Arabidopsis thaliana: one gene and its partner. The protein of the gene in region 1 purifies or fractionates together with the protein of each later gene. This does not show direct contact. Each region holds a gene or a part of one and is shown on either strand. Other genes may lie near its edges.

Region 1 (7,904 bases):
GAGATTCCAATGTACCTGAAGAGGCGCAACAGGAAACGAGAAGCAACAGGAAAATTCTCTGAAACCATATCGCCATTTTGCTTCAAACTACAAAGAAAACCTTGAACGTCAACGCTTCTTGGATCCAGTGAATGTGTCTATTAATTAGTAAAATATTTAACGAGAAGAATGATGCTGTAACATGTTAGCATAAAGTTGATCATTAATAAATATATTAATAATTCTCTTTCACCTTAGTGGACTTGTCTTTGAGTTGTGCACAAATGAGAAGACTAAACACACAGATGGTTTGAAGAAGCCAGGGCCATCATCCATATAGTAGAACTGTGTCTTTTTGGATCTGGTTCTAGTGTTTGTACATTTCAGGAAACAAAAGGTTGGTGAATTGAGAGTGTGAACAATGTTCTATTTAATTTGGTTACTCCAACCTAACTCTTAACTCACTCTTAGACTCTTAGTGGTTGGTGTATTGACCGAATTATTATTTTTAAGCAGTCTTGAAGACATACAAAACATTGCATAATCGTAAAAAACAAAAGTCACGAAATGAAATAACCTACTAAATACTTGTGGAATTACCAAAATATTTTTGCCATAAATTATTATGTTTTTTTCTCGAACATATATACTGTATATGATTACTACGTATCAAAAGCAAATCCTGATTGAATTTGGAATTTGATTTGGTTTAGATTGCCTCGTCATAACTGGCTTTAGAAAAGTAAAAAGAGTGCAGTTTGTGACGACTTTTAGATATGGCTTTGATTCACAAACGTCAAGCTCTCAATTCTAGGGGGGTGGATTGGTCGGAGCTTCCTGAGGATGTGATCAGATTGGTTCTGCGACGGCTGAGACTCTCGGATTTTCATCGAGCTAGGGCGGTTTGTTCCACTTGGTGTAGGGTTTGGGGAGACTGTGTCTCCAAACCTAATCAGGTTCCGTGGCTAATTCTTTTCCCTGATCCAGCACAAATCAGACGCAGTTGCATGTTGTACAATCCACAGGAAGAAGAAAACGTTTACACAATTCAAGACCTTGGTGTGGATCCTTGCCTTGCAAGTTGCGGCACCTGGCTCCTCGGTTAAATCTATATCTTGTGAATGTGCTAAATTTGGAGAGGATTAACCTAGTAGCTATCGAGTCTCAACGTGACCAGCTCTTTTCAGCGTACTCTACAGAAAAGGTCATTTTGCAAGCAAAGCCGAGATGATGGGATACCCTAGTACTGATAAGGCAGTTGTGTGGATAGACGAGAAAACTAAAGACTACGTAGTTGCTTGCAGCTGGGGTGGAGACAAGCATGCAGCCTTTTGCAAGAAAGGCGATTGTGAATGGCGCCAGATTCCTCCTTTGTTGGGGTGTAGTGATATTGCCCTCAAGGACCACAAACTTTACATTTACTATGAGGATGGTAGCATCGGAATCTCGGATTTGAAGTTTGTAACAAAAACTGCTCATGTTCAGCTCTATCCCTTTCGCTTCCGCTTGGGATCTTTTAGCCCTTATGATACAATTTGGACAGACTATCTTGACTGGAAGACCAACATAGTAATCACCATCTCTGGAGATTTTTTGATGGTTGGCTGCGTTCTTAAACGTCGTGACCTTTCCTGGCTTTTTCGTGGCGACCAGGCCGTGATCTTGGATCTAGGTATCACCGTGCAAGCATCCTCCGATATCCAAGGTATTACCAGAAACTCCACCTATTTCAGCGGTCTTCCATCTAGCCAAAAGGATGTCTTCGTCTTCAATCTCTCCTCCCAGAAGGTTCAACGCCTTTCGTCTTCTTCTATCTCCTCCAGACCATTCTCTAATGCTCGCTGGCTCTTCCCCACTTCTTACTTCACAATGATACTCTTTCCAAACATTTTCGTTTTTGTTCAACTTTAAGTGTTTTTTTTTTTTAATAATGCCAATGTTATTTTCCTTTTGCTAATAAAAACATGACTTAACCATTAACGCAAAGGCTACAAAACAAAGCTAATTATATAAAGTAGTAATGTTTCAACATACACAAGATTACAGATACACTAGTTCACTTTTAAACCAGACTAATCTCAACAATATCTTCTACTAAAAATGCTCAAACAGATGAAGAGACTTGTATCGTCAAGAAACTCACCAACTCCCTGGCCCATCGTTCCCAGCTGCTGGCCTCCGGTTCAAGTAACGTATAACTGCATCTTCGACCCTGCAAACATTTTACCCCAAATTATGATTCAGAAACATTTTACAACTCTTTGACCAAAAAAAAAAAAAAACATTTTACAACTCTTAATACATATCATCTGTGCGAATAAAGGCCAGAGTAGCAGAGTCTAGATGATTAGCTTACCAAGGTTGGTTGAAGAAGTCTGATCGACGTTCTCTCTCAGCATTTCGACTGGCTTCTCCCGCAACGACCTTTAGATCCTTGCTCTGAGATTCGATCAGGGCGTTTATGAATTCAACTGGCGATTGGCTGAACCCCAAGAAAAATGCCCGCCTCCTCCTATGCTCATGGATTTTCCTTATGGCTGCACATATTGCTTCATCACAAGCCTCAATCTCTTTGTTCTTCTCTGCGTTGGCTAGCAAATTGTTCAGATCTCTTTGGATCGGGAAGGGTACATCCACTAGCACATCGTAACATGCTGATACGGCCGGATTATTTCCTGAGAGCTTGATTTTGTGTTCTAAGTGAATAGGTGGTGGAGGCGACAAGTGATGAGATATTTTCTGAGAGACCATAGTGAATTTCAACTTTTCTTCTCCAAAAACTTTCTGAAGTGCAGCATCACAGTTGAAGAAAGAGGGGTCATTTGGGTTCTGCAGTTTCCTCGCCTTAACGTAATGCCAAATTGCAGCGATGATTCTTGGGCGGGTTTCAACCTCAATCCCGAGAACATCCATCAATGCAGTAGAAAGCTTGAACTTTTCAGGGACGTAGTTCATCTCCAACCGTATACTAGCAGCAAACTCCTGATTCCCTTTCCTCTTTATCTCAAAGCCTTCCTGAGGAGCAGGTGATCGAGCATTCTCCCATATGATCAATGGGTTCTCAGGATACAGCCTCTGATCCAGGGAAACTGTAACCCTTTTGAAGAAAGACGAGAATTTGGGATGCAATGGGTTTGCTTTCTGAACAAACCCTGGCTGGTCGGGATCCACCCCATCTTCCAGTATCCTACCAATAATTTTAAGAGTCCATGTTGGCGGGTCAGCATTAGGATTCCCAGGGATCGTGTTGTTTTGGTTAGCAAACGAGTTGAAAACGTAGATCCTAAGAGTCTTCTGTATGCAGGGAGGGTTTTTAAGGGCTTCCTGGATGTCAACTTTCTTTCTAGTTAACGCAGCATCAACCCGAGACTCAAACTCCAGAAGTTGTGTGTATAAGGCAGACTCTGGCAAGATTGCAGCCACCCGCTCCTGCAATGACTTTTCTGGAAGCTTTTGTTTCTTTTTCCGAGCAGCAGGAGTTAACTCCATTGTTCTCATTGGGGAGATAGTGTTGTTACTCGCAGGAGCACCAGGAGGTCGCATCGGCGGTTTCTGCTGGAATCTCTTCATGTTTAAACTTCCAGGAGTCGTCAAAGAAGGAGAAGAAGGACCCAAGCCACCAATCCCCGGAGAACCTTGTGCTTGGTTCATCGTCATGCCTTGAGCTTGTAACTGAGCTTGCAGTTGTGCTTGAACTTTAGACTGTGCTTGAGCATGGGCTAGGGCCTGAGCTTGAGAGAACTGAAACTGAGCTTGAAAGTTAGCTGCCATATGAGACTGAGCAAAACCTTGGTTTCCAGGAACAGATGCAGAGGCCATCCCAGGATTCCCAAAAGGCAAAGGCGCAGAGCCTTGAGGCTTTTGTGGATTGTTGTTGTTACCAGACATTGCTATATAAACCTATCAGCCTGAAAAATTCAGAAACAAAAAATAACACTCTTGAAAAATAAACTTCAATTACACCTAACGTATCGTAAGCTTATCAGAAATCTAAGACATATATGCAGAAATTCAGATGAATGCAATAGATCGGTTACCTAGAGAAATCGAAACCTCAAAACCCTAATTTTCTAAGATTGCTGCAGAGTTCAACTAAATAGGAGTAATACCCAGGCTTAAAAACAACGTCGAAGAGAAAATGACTGAAAATGCGAATGAAGAACTCGATTGGAGAATTTTTGAAATATACTACTAAGTGGCCATAGAAAGATCTGGAATTTACAAAATCCTAAGAGATACAAAAAACAGAAAACCCAGAGCCTATACACCATAAAGATCGAGAATTCCTTAAAAAAACGAAGATTCGCAGCTTGGTACCTGCTTTTTTGATTCACCTTCTTTCCGGGATTCACCGGTGTTCCGTTGCTTCTCAGTTGTCGAGACTCGAGAGAGAAAACAAAAACAAATGCCCACCGGAGCTATCTATTTTACTGTCCGGGTTAAGACCCGACCCGTATTTTTAAAGCCCACATTGAGTTATATCAAACTGGCCCAACTTTAATCCATGTGTTTTTTTTTCAACGACAAATCCACATACAATTTGACGACAAAATTAAAAAGAAAAGCATTCCACATAATTTTGTTTTACTATAGTTTTTCGTTTCCTTTTTTTTTTTTTGTCAAATACGAATCTGTAGTTTTAGTGTTCTTTCTTAAATATACCTAAAACTAGGGTAAATTAGATAATGGTTGCCCCATTGTTTATAGATTAAAGAAAAAAAAAATCTAAATTAAATATTGGGATTATTTTAATTAGAAGCTAGTAGACTGGTATACTTTTTCATAAAAATTTTAATTTTATTTTTGCCCATTTTGTTTAGAGGGAAACAATTGAAGAATATGGGCACATGCAATTACATAAACTAATGACAAGGTAATAATATTATCAAGCTTGTCGTTTGAAAAAGGTAGCAACTTGGTTATAAACAACGTCTTTGGCAGTAACACCCATGATGAAATCAGCATGAGCATAGTCTTTCACAAACTGCACATTCATCTTATCGATGTCGTGATACTTAAACTGGTCAAGGAGAAACTCAACGTCTTTCACATCAGCCAGGCTATCTAAACCACCGTAGCTGAAAAAAAGCGGAAGCTCGTGTGGGATCGCCGATATGTTGTATGCCGGTGGTATCGCTTGACCGTAATGTTTTATGTTGCGATCACTGCTTCCATAGTTGTATTTTCTCAACTCCTTGTCTCTTACCGCTACAAATAAATAATTTGAACAATTTAAGGTTTATAAAATAATTTTTAAAAAATGGGAATTTGTTTCACTTACTTTGAGCAAGGTGGATCATGTTCTTGGTGGAAGTAGATTGAGGTTCGTTGGCAAGGAACAGATCAATGGTTGATGCGTTAAGGCAGCAATTCTTTCCTATGTTTTTGTAAAATTACGTTAATTAATATATGTAATTAATTCATCAATGGTAGATTGGTGGACTTTTTTAGTTGTAGCGTTACCAGTGATAACAGAGACTAAATCATAACAGTCGATCCCCGCTTTAAGGCATATAGCCTTTATAAAATCCCCTACTAATCCACTGCAAATGTTGTTTTAACTATTTTACGTAATCAAATCAAGCCAATAATAACAAGCATATTTTAAGAAAAAAGGGTGAAGATTTACCTTTTCGGGTTAAACTCTGGCCATCCAAGAATAGAGGTGGCCTATTTTTGAAAGACGATAAACAAGTTATTTTCATAACTGTAGGCACATATTTGTATAAGAATAAAAAAGGGTATTACAAGGGAGAAGCTAGGGACCTCGGCGAGGAAGGTTTTTGCGGCGATATCGCCGATGACGGTGGTCATGTGGCTGAGATAAGCAACGGGACTCAACATCGCCGCCGATCTCACTTGATCCACCAACCCTTTTTCTGAGAACGAAGCAAATCCTATTAACGTCCCCTGACAATTTCCATTTCATTTTTCATTCTATTATGAGAAGATATATTACTATAAGAAAAAGAAAAAAATCAGAGAAAAAATATGTTGATAACGTTGGACCCACCAAAGAGTGTCCGAGGTAGTGAATCTTTTGGCCTGTTAGGCCATGGATATGGTCAAACATAGCAGGCAGATCGTAACTCACAAGCTCGTCCCACGTCCAGTTCCAGAAAGCCTAAGTCCACAACGTGCCAACGATGTTAAATATCAGTTTCCTTAGTAAAGATATATACGTAATCTACTGGTTAAAACAGTGGTTCACTGAACCAGACCCGTTGAGAAGGGTTAAGGTACTTGTGTCTTCTGCTGAATCTAGTCCCTCTTGTGTTCCCCATCCACACATCGAATCCTTGATCCGCCAAAATCAACGGCAGATTTTGATCCGCTGGATTCAACAGCCATGACATCCCATCCTGCACATTTAACTCATGATTATTTGACTATCATAGTAATGTAAACTATAAGAAATTAAAGGACCATGTTGTCAAAGAGACAAATTACAATTCTGCATACGTACGACTGTCGTCTCTGTCCACATAAAACTTAAAACATAAGGCAAGTCATAAAGTATTTTCTTTCTAGCAGGCTGATGAAAATAGTAGTACTGATCTCATCAAGTTTTGTACTTATGCACTTTATCGATGATTTTTAAGAATTCGATGAGTACCAGAGTCGAGAGTCGACACGGTTATTTATATAATATCACTTACGTACGGTACAATCATTCTTCCATACCAGAAAAGTTGTTTATCACTTGAGTTTATTTTAATTACCTTTCTAGTAACGCTCCAATTATCACTTTATTTGTTGGACACACATGTTTAACACTCATGCTGTCTCTTTATTTAATGTTTTAATTTTACCACCACTAAGATAACACATATGCACATTCTTTATCAAAAAAAGATACAGACATTAATCTAATTAATCTTACTTGTAAGTTTCAAACTCGCACGCACATACGATATAAGGATAAATGTACATATATATATATATATATATATATATATATATATATATATATGTATGTACATACTTGTTGATGAGGCATCCACTGGAAGTATACACGTTTGGTTTTGGCCCACGTGTATATGTCTATTTATAGATGTAAATCATCTTGAAATAATATATGCACATATTCTCCATTTGTATAACTTCTGAAAACGGGTATAAAATGTTCTCCTAATAATGTTTTTCTCACTATCCCTTGACGTCACTTTCCACTTTTTCTTACTTTCAAAAATTTATGTAATGGAAAACAGCTTCAATGTAGTAATCAGATATTCCGAGTGCGATGCAGTGGTTTAATTACAGCTATATATGTTTTTAATAATAGACTTTGTAGTTTGGATGTATTTCATGCATGTTGGAACAAAGTTTGATATTATCACAATAATTATCTGCACATAAAAGTAGCATGCGTGTGTATACACAAGTTAATTGACGGTTAAGGCGATGCAAAAAGGTAAGGAAGAGTAAAACTTACGACAAGAATTCCATGTTGTATTAGGACAGGTTGTCTCTTTCCCCCATCTCCGGCGACGGCTCCGGCTCGTCCTTCCGGTATCCTTTGCATATTCAATATGTACCCATCTTGAGTCACCACCTTCATAATTTAACAATTAAAATAGCAGCTTTATCAGTTAATATATCGATGAGTAATCATCATCAATAGCTATATAGAAAAAAAAAGAATGTCGTACGTACATCATGTTCTTCGCACTTGTAACCAAATATGTGAACAGAAGAAGCGCATATGCCGCCGGCAGCAGTCCTCTGCGGTGGCTGTCCGGCAAGCCTGCCGAAGGTTCCACGAGCTTCAAGGGTCTTGAGGGAAAGAGCGAAGAAGATTAAGACAGATAAGGCTAAACCGATTGAAACGGACGGAACCATAACCGAACCGGCCATTGAGATATATATAGGGGTTATCACGTACGTTTATAGGAAAGTGAAAATGGTTTTATATAGAGAGAAGG
Region 2 (7,690 bases), on another chromosome or scaffold:
AGAAATGTGATTTAAGTATGCCCATCAACACTAACCTCAATGACTCCGCGTCTTTTATCAGTAGTTCGGTTGGGCACGTCATGCTCTTTCCCTGAGATAGCTTTGCTAAAACAAGGTCTAGACGAATGTTGGTACCTTCCTGGGCTCAGAGGCTGCATTCTTGAATTTCTTCTAGCTAAAAGACGTAAAAGATATAATGGTACCCATAGAAGGATCCGGGCAGGTAGTAAAGCCCACCAGACAATGAAGGTTATCCAGTCTGTCCAATGGCTTTCGTAATTGGCAGGAAGACTAGCCCAAGAGCGGAGTGAGCTTTGAGACAAGGGTGATGGAGGCGTGGACATGCCATCACTATCATCATCACCAGAGGAATAGTCCAAGCTAGAAGTATCAGAATCCACAGAGAGTTCGTGAATGAAGTGGTTGAAAGAAGAGACTCCACTGCAAAACCACAGAAATCAAAAGAGAGTCGAATAAGCTGCTATAAGGTAACCACAAAGAAGTATTAGAGAGTTGAAGAGAGTTTTACTTATGCATCCAGCGTGGTAAACGAGGTCCACGCAATGTAGGCCTAAGCTCCCATCCATGAAGACCTTCAAGAACATTGGACTTTCCGGGCAAAAGTGTCAAGAGAAGCGCAGAAAATCCATTAATGCATCTTGCAATGTTGTTCAAAGACTCATAAGTCAGAGTTTTCACTGACCTGCACTAAAAACCAAAATCATTAGTTAGCTTAAAACTATTTTAGACTAACACAAACAATCCTAATACCAATCAAAAACCCACAACGAACACCAAAAACCCAAACAGACAAGCATTAAACAAAGAAAACTATCCGCAGATACAACGAGAATCGCTGTAATTATTACAGGACAAAGAGTCAATATGTATACTTTCTTCAAAGAGACAACAAACCTTCAACAACTAACTAAAAATGGTAAATCAGAAATGTATCCCCAAATTAGTAAAACTATATACCACTAAATCTCAAGATTAATGTAAATCAGAAGATATAAGATATAGACTTAGCTCCTAGCTCCACTATAAAACCACTGGCTCAAAATTTGGCAACTTCCATATCTAAAGCAAATCGAATTACTATTTGAGAAAATCTAATCGAATTAAAATCCAAATTAAGGAAACAAAACAGTTGAAATCACATATCAAATTACTAAAACCACTAAACATGCAACTAAAAAAACAAATCAGAAATCACAAAATCAATAAGCGTGCACAGACTAATGGTGAAATCGAAAAGAGAGAGGGACTCACTCTTTTGTGATAGCAAGAGCATTATCGACGATCCTCTGCATGATTTTGTTTCCCAATATAGAAATACAACAAAATAAAATAAAAAATCTGAAAAATGAAAGAAGATAGAATCCAAAAACCAAAAGCCCAGAAAAACTGAGAAGAGTCCCACAAAATCAAAAGCCGTAATCGGGAATCGAAGAGAAAAGAAACGTTTTTTTTTAAATTGTGAGTGTGTCTTTGGATTGAAATCCGATATATTAGGGGACGCCGGCGATTCTTACCGTCCACAAGAGAAGGTCGGTAAACGTTATTTAGAGAGACGAGACAGAGGTTGACACGTGGGCGTATATAATTGGATGATTTAGAATGTGTCATCTATTGGATTTTGCATGCGGATATGGAGACATGACACGTAAGTCTGTAGTGGCGGAGAAGTTACGTCCATTTTGTCTTTATTATTATTCAGACCATTTTATGATTAATAAAAGTATTATTACTTACCAATATCAATTACATTATTTATATTATTAATAATCTTGTGGTTCAAAACATTTTGCTATTCTATAAAATATGTTCGAAGACCGGAATTTTGGAACTTCGAAGTCATTAGCTTTTTGAGAGGCACGATAAAGCTGATTTTTTCTTCTTTTTTAAAAAAGAAAAAGAAAACTTATGAAGCTGCTTTTTGTAGTTTCGGATTTGTTATTTTCTTGTTAATTTTGTGGATTATCTTGGTTCGTAGTAACAAAACGTGGACGGTCTTGATTGTGCGAAAATCTAATAAAGCAACGAAACTTCTTCCACATGTTTTTATGTTTTTAAAATAGCACTATAATGCTTGTTAATGACACTCATTCTAAAAGGTTCAGGCGGAATACTAATAATCTTCAAGGAACAACGATGCACAATGAAAATAACACATTAGTTTCCAAGTTTCGTCTTGTCAGACTCCACATAATCTGAAACTGCCTGCTTTAAGGGCATTTTCTCTGAATGTAGGAAGCTCCATGTTCCTCATACCTGCCATTTACACCAAGACCCCAAATCCGAGTGTCAGGAGAGAAAACAAACTATAGTTTCTTTGCGAGTCTGATTAATGGAAAATCAGAACAGAGACTTACTCAGACTTGGAGAACCACATCTGTTGAAATGAGCCTAGTGATGCCAATATACTCCCTCCTATCCATACACTGCACATACATAACATGTTTGTTGGTTGATCCAAGCAAAAAAATTTGGGTCTCATTATAGAGGAAGAAGTGAACACTAAATCCAGACCTGAATCTTCTTTCTGTTGTGTTACCGCTTGCCAACACTTTAACTCTAGCTGAGTGAGGAGACTCCTGAAACAAAGATAGAGGGACCAATGAATGATTTTCGCCATCATAAAAACTGGGATAGCTTTAAAGACAGAGGAAAAGAGTTTAGGACACAATACTTCGATCAAGTCCTTTTCGAGACGTTCTTTCAGCTGTTGCATTGACGATGTGCCACCAGCAAGCTGGCATAATGCGAGAAGAAAGGAAATGTTAATCATCCACATCCAACGAAACTAAAAGTAGGGGTATTTAAGAGTTGGCATTGATTGCTATTTTACCAGTATGCTACTATACAACTCTCTCCGGATGTCTACATCACATTTGTTGATGCTCTCCATGACCTGTACAAGTCAGTAAAATGGAGAGTAAAGTTAGAAAAAGTTAAGAGATGGAAGCTTTGCAATGACTAAATACCATGCATATACCATGTGTGGTAACCCACGAACGGAAGGAATCATCTCAGCATACTTCTCCATTCCAGGAATCGTCTGCAAATTGCAATAAAAACGGAGAAGAAACCTTTGATAAATAATTCGAGGCTCAAAACGCTCAAGATAAGAAACAAAATGTCTTCAGAATCTTCTGTTGAATTTATCGTGCTCAAATGGTGTACCTGGACTATGGACGGGTTGAACATCACATCAGGAACTTTGAACCTATCAGCACCAATCTCGAGCGTCCTTCAACAGACATGGTTAATAAGATATTGAGAAAGACTACAAAAATTACAGGTGCAGCTTCCTGTCTTCAATGAAGCTAGCACTTTTTCTTTTAACTTAATTCTCATTATGAACATTAGGTTCCATGCAGGTTTCCAAAGCAATGTCTGACTCTTCTAAACTTTTATGCCCAATGGCTTTAATGACTCAGATCCAACTAAGCACTTATCTCAGCTTAAACAAGGTTCAGAGCAGTGGTACATTTGGCTAGAAACTAAGCTCAAACCTTATACGTAGAAAACAAAAGCAACAGTAGCATGTACATTTGAGGCACAAATAAACCGAAATAGACATATAAACTGAGCTTACTGGCCATCAGGAAGCTCGTACGACGTAGTAGGGATGTTTGAATATGATTTATCTGCAGATAAATGCATCACATCAGAAAAACTAAGGCTATGCGATCAAATGACATTGAAAGATAAAAAGTATCTAACGTTCAACTCTCAAGCAACTTTAAACTTTGAAATAAAACAAATTTATGAAACCAGAGACAGACAGAATAACATAAGGTACCGTCATAGGGAGTATCAGGAACTCGACAAATGGAATCCTTGATATCACCCACTATCATCCTCTGTTGAAACAAATCACCAAATTATCACAACTGAAATTTTCAAACGAAGTTTCATAATCAATTACAGACCTGGCAGAAGAGTTTGTAGCTTTCCGTGGTGTCAGGAATATCCACATCTTCAACCTGCAAGGATTCAAAGGGAGGAAATTAGAGACTATTCACTGCTAGTAGTTTCATTCACTGATCCACATATGCACCTGGAATTCCCCTGCTCGTACTTCCTTCCTCTTGAAAGAGTATCTAGGTCTTATCTGCAGAAAAAATAACCAGTATCACTCAGATAATTTGGCTTAAAAGAAAAGAACAGTGAAGAATTTTTTTAACCTACTTTAATTCCTTTACTCTCCAAGCTTTTCAGTAGGCAGTCAGTGAGAAATTCCCCTCCAAGTGGAGACGATACAACAGCCTGCGAATAAAAGTATGGTCAACAATCGGAGAATCACAATCTACATCAATGCTGTAGGTCATAATTCACATGGATGAGAATTTATAGCAGCTACAGATGACTATGGAAACGAGAGATGGGAAACTTTCTCCTGCAGTACAAAATCCAAACCCAAAGAAACAGCATCACAAAGCTGAATTCTTACTAAATCGTGTAATACAAGTACCTTCTGAAGAACATAACCATCATGCACCGGTGAAATGGTTGTGGATCCTCCACCGCTAGAAATACAATAAAGTGTCATCAGTGCTTCTCAAATTATACACCATACAGAACAAGGTAGACTTTCACAGCATATAGAGCAGAAGTGGAACATTAGTAGCTTCTACATACTAGAGAAACTTTTAATACTTAAAGTCTTACCAGTCAACAACCAAAGAAGTAGCACGCCCAGTAGCAAAAGACGTGAGAACCTAGCACCAAAAACACCAAATTCATGTAGATAGTTAGACATCTGATTACACAAGAGCTGACTGGATATCAACATTACAGTGAACGTCATATAATAATCTATCAAAAAGAATGATGACCCAAGGGAGAGGGAATATACAGGGTTCTTAGCCATAAACAGTGCCGGAACTTTGTACTTTTCAAACATTAGCTCTGCCGCCCTGTCAAGCATATGATTTGAGAAAATCAGTAACACACCAAGATAAAGCAACAGTGGTAATAAAGGATATTTCAAAGCAGATAAATCATACTTCTCTCTCTGCTGTTGAGTGTTTAAAGGAGGCTCAGCTAGCAGCATTGGATGCTCCGTAGGATCAATCATCAGACAACTCCTTAAAAGACAAAGTTTTTTTAGAGATGAAATGCAAACAACAATTAAGAGAAAATATAATGCTTTACACATTTACTTGAAAGCATGTTCCCATATATTGTCCACCAAATCCCAGTCAGAAACGATGCCATCTTTTATAGGTGACAAAACCTGGTGAGAGAAAATGCAATCTGTAATTTCACCAACAAAGTTATAAACTTTAACATTAATCAAGGAGAAAAACTAACCTCCATATGATCTCTGCGGTAGCTCATGGCTTGAGATCCTACATAGAGCTTGCGTTTGCTCTTTTCCTTTTCAGACTCGGTCTTCGAATCCTCAGAGTTCGAATTAGTCTTTGTAGAATCAACATCCACATCCATTGCCTCTACACCATCTACTGCCCCAATAACCTTATGAACACATCAAAAAAAAAACTAAGAGTCTGAAGATACAAGGGACTTGAGCAAATCTACAATAACACCATTAAGCTTATAGTGACATAAAATGCTGGTAATTAAGACTTACGGAAGGGAAAACGGCCTTGGGAGCATCTTCACCGGCGTAACCAGCCTTGCAAGTGTGCGAACCCAAGTCAACCACAATAGCTGACACTTCATCTGTGAAAACCCACCACGGAAAAAAACAGCTCAGGAATGTCTCAAAAGATAAACGACAAAGCAATTCAAGGGTTTAAAGAGAAACCCACCTCCGCCGTACATGGCTGCAGCGAACGACAAGGGTGGAGCGGTTCTCTATCTGAGCTTTGTCGCCGGAGGGTTTAAACACGGGACGGGGTTCTCTGTAATCTCGGATCCAGCTGAATCGGGTCGACTTGGTTTTACTGAGTTCGAGTTGTGGGGACCACAAAACCTCTCATTTAATCCGTCGGGTTTAAATTATTCAAGAAACTAACCGAACCGAACACAATTTTTCTAAACCGAACCAACTTTTGTGACCACCCTTTTTGCAGTAAACGAAGCTGATTTATTGCCAAATAAAATGTCTATGCTTAATGAAAGTGTATAATTTAAATTACAGCCGAACAAATACTGAAATCCATATTTTCGAGTTACATAATAGAAATTATGATAAACAAATAATCTGGTTATCTTTTGATGTACAATTTGCTCAAAAAGGATTCAAGTATGGAACCAAAAAAAAATTATTAATGAATCAGCAAGAACACTTTGTAGTTTGTTATATGAATATATGTAATGTAACAATGTCACTTCTAACTGAGTTGCTCCATAGATTTTCGAGTGTTGACAAATGTTGCACTTTTGTTGAACCCCTCAAGCAAAAGAATCCTTATTGCCTCTAACCCGGTTTGGAATGTGTGATCCAACTGCAAAACCAAAAACAATCAGGTTATGTCTTTCTGAAATTTTTTGAGATAATTATGGGATAAATCTGCTTCTACCTCTTCCTGTTCCTGTCTATTGAACTGGCGGAGAACAAAATTGGCTGTATCCATCTTCCCTGGAGGACGTCCGATCCCTGAAATGAAACATTCGACAATTTGCAAAACCAGAGAAGAAAATGGGAAGATATGTCGGAGTGGAGAAAAATGAGAACTGTACCTATTCTTAGTCGAGGAAAATCACGGCTACCTTTGAGGCGGTCTATAATACTTCTCATCCTGCAAGTAAAAGAACAACCCATCATGTTTTCTTGTAGAGTTTCTCTATGATTTGATAGTGAAACCGCAAACTATTATCCATCCACATTGCTTCTTAAGTAAAAAGTAAGACAATACTTAAAAGTTAAAACACAAATGAAAACATCAACAGGCCAGATAGAGAGTGAAAAGCATTGTACCCATTGTGGCCTCCGTGACCACCTTTTGGCAATAAACGTAGTTTACCAAAGGGCAAATCTAAATCATCGTAAACCTGAAAAAGACAAAAAAAATTAAGACGGCATATGCACTCTAGAGCCAGAATTTGGAGAGTAAGCGAGAGAGAAGGTTAAGTATACCACAAGTACTTGCTTTAACGGGATCTTGTAAAATGAAACGATTTGTCCAACCTTCAAAGAATTCCAGCAATCATAAACAGAAAGAATCAAAATAACAAGTGATAAAAGTTAAAGAGATTGGTTAACTAAATAAACCAAAGTTTGTTTCCGATGAGCTCACTTACAGACTCACCACTTAGGTTCATGAAAGTTTGTGGTTTAGCCAGCATAATCGGTATATTTCCAATAACGCCTATGATAAAGGAAAACAATACCCAAAGTTAGAAACAAACCAGAGACAGAAAATGATATTTATTTCAATATTCATTCTCCGGAAACAGTTAGCCATTGTTTCTATCACCCTCATCAAACATTTGAGACGTATGAAATTTGAAAGTTTCAAACTTTGAGATAAGAAAACCATTTCAAAATGAAAATTCACAATGGAGAAGATAAGAGAATGAAAAAGAGAACCTTTCCCAAACAAGGCCTTGAAGTTAACAGTGTTCATGGAGATGCCTTCTGCATCAGCCAAAGCGTCCACCATCTCAAAACCAACCTGCAATTCATGATCACGTTACCGAGCTGAAAAGGAAAATGCAAAGTGAGAAAGCAAGAGAGAGACATACGTTGTGGCGCGTGCCCTGGTACTTCTTG

What was found.
Region 2: the proteins of CHC1 (region 1) and ARP4 purify together in Arabidopsis thaliana (affinity purification with mass spectrometry; 2 studies listed by BioGRID, with this or other methods). This does not show direct contact.

Annotation. Positions count from the first base shown.
Region 1 is NC_003076.8:4,566,578-4,574,481, forward strand, and holds CHC1 (SWIB/MDM2 domain superfamily protein), read right to left. Parts: upstream 4,418-7,904; 5' UTR 4,297-4,417; intron 3,888-4,296; 5' UTR 3,868-3,887; coding exon 2,336-3,867; intron 2,192-2,335; coding exon 2,119-2,191; 3' UTR 1,903-2,118; downstream 1-1,902. Other genes in the region: AT5G14150 (Emb:.1 protein, putative (Protein of unknown function, DUF642)), read right to left, coding at 16-76; AT5G14160 (F-box family protein), read left to right, coding at 756-1,080, 1,157-1,890; MPL1 (Myzus persicae-induced lipase 1), read right to left, coding at 4,865-5,187, 5,261-5,356, 5,443-5,522, 5,609-5,649, 5,746-5,889, 5,993-6,103, 6,201-6,341, 7,415-7,534 and 1 more. UniProt on the Arabidopsis thaliana protein: Involved in transcriptional activation and repression of select genes by chromatin remodeling (alteration of DNA-nucleosome topology).
Region 2 is NC_003070.9:6,346,305-6,353,994, reverse strand, and holds ARP4 (actin-related protein 4), read right to left. Parts: upstream 5,948-7,690; 5' UTR 5,797-5,947; coding exon 5,784-5,796; intron 5,695-5,783; coding exon 5,603-5,694; intron 5,488-5,602; coding exon 5,323-5,487; intron 5,246-5,322; coding exon 5,172-5,245; intron 5,097-5,171; coding exon 5,016-5,096; intron 4,926-5,015; coding exon 4,865-4,925; intron 4,728-4,864; coding exon 4,678-4,727; intron 4,536-4,677; coding exon 4,481-4,535; intron 4,276-4,480; coding exon 4,198-4,275; intron 4,121-4,197; coding exon 4,067-4,120; intron 3,993-4,066; coding exon 3,939-3,992; intron 3,870-3,938; coding exon 3,809-3,869; intron 3,654-3,808; coding exon 3,602-3,653; intron 3,254-3,601; coding exon 3,187-3,253; intron 3,062-3,186; coding exon 2,999-3,061; intron 2,915-2,998; coding exon 2,852-2,914; intron 2,756-2,851; coding exon 2,693-2,755; intron 2,598-2,692; coding exon 2,533-2,597; intron 2,445-2,532; coding exon 2,376-2,444; intron 2,275-2,375; and 3 more. Other genes in the region: AT1G18460 (alpha/beta-Hydrolases superfamily protein), read right to left, coding at 36-441, 530-703, 1,273-1,313; AT1G18440 (Peptidyl-tRNA hydrolase family protein), read right to left, coding at 6,309-6,422, 6,498-6,574, 6,658-6,716, 6,896-6,969, 7,055-7,105, 7,219-7,286, 7,508-7,592, 7,663-7,690. UniProt on the Arabidopsis thaliana protein: Involved in several developmental processes including organization of plant organs, flowering time, anther development, flower senescence and fertility, probably by regulating the chromatin structure.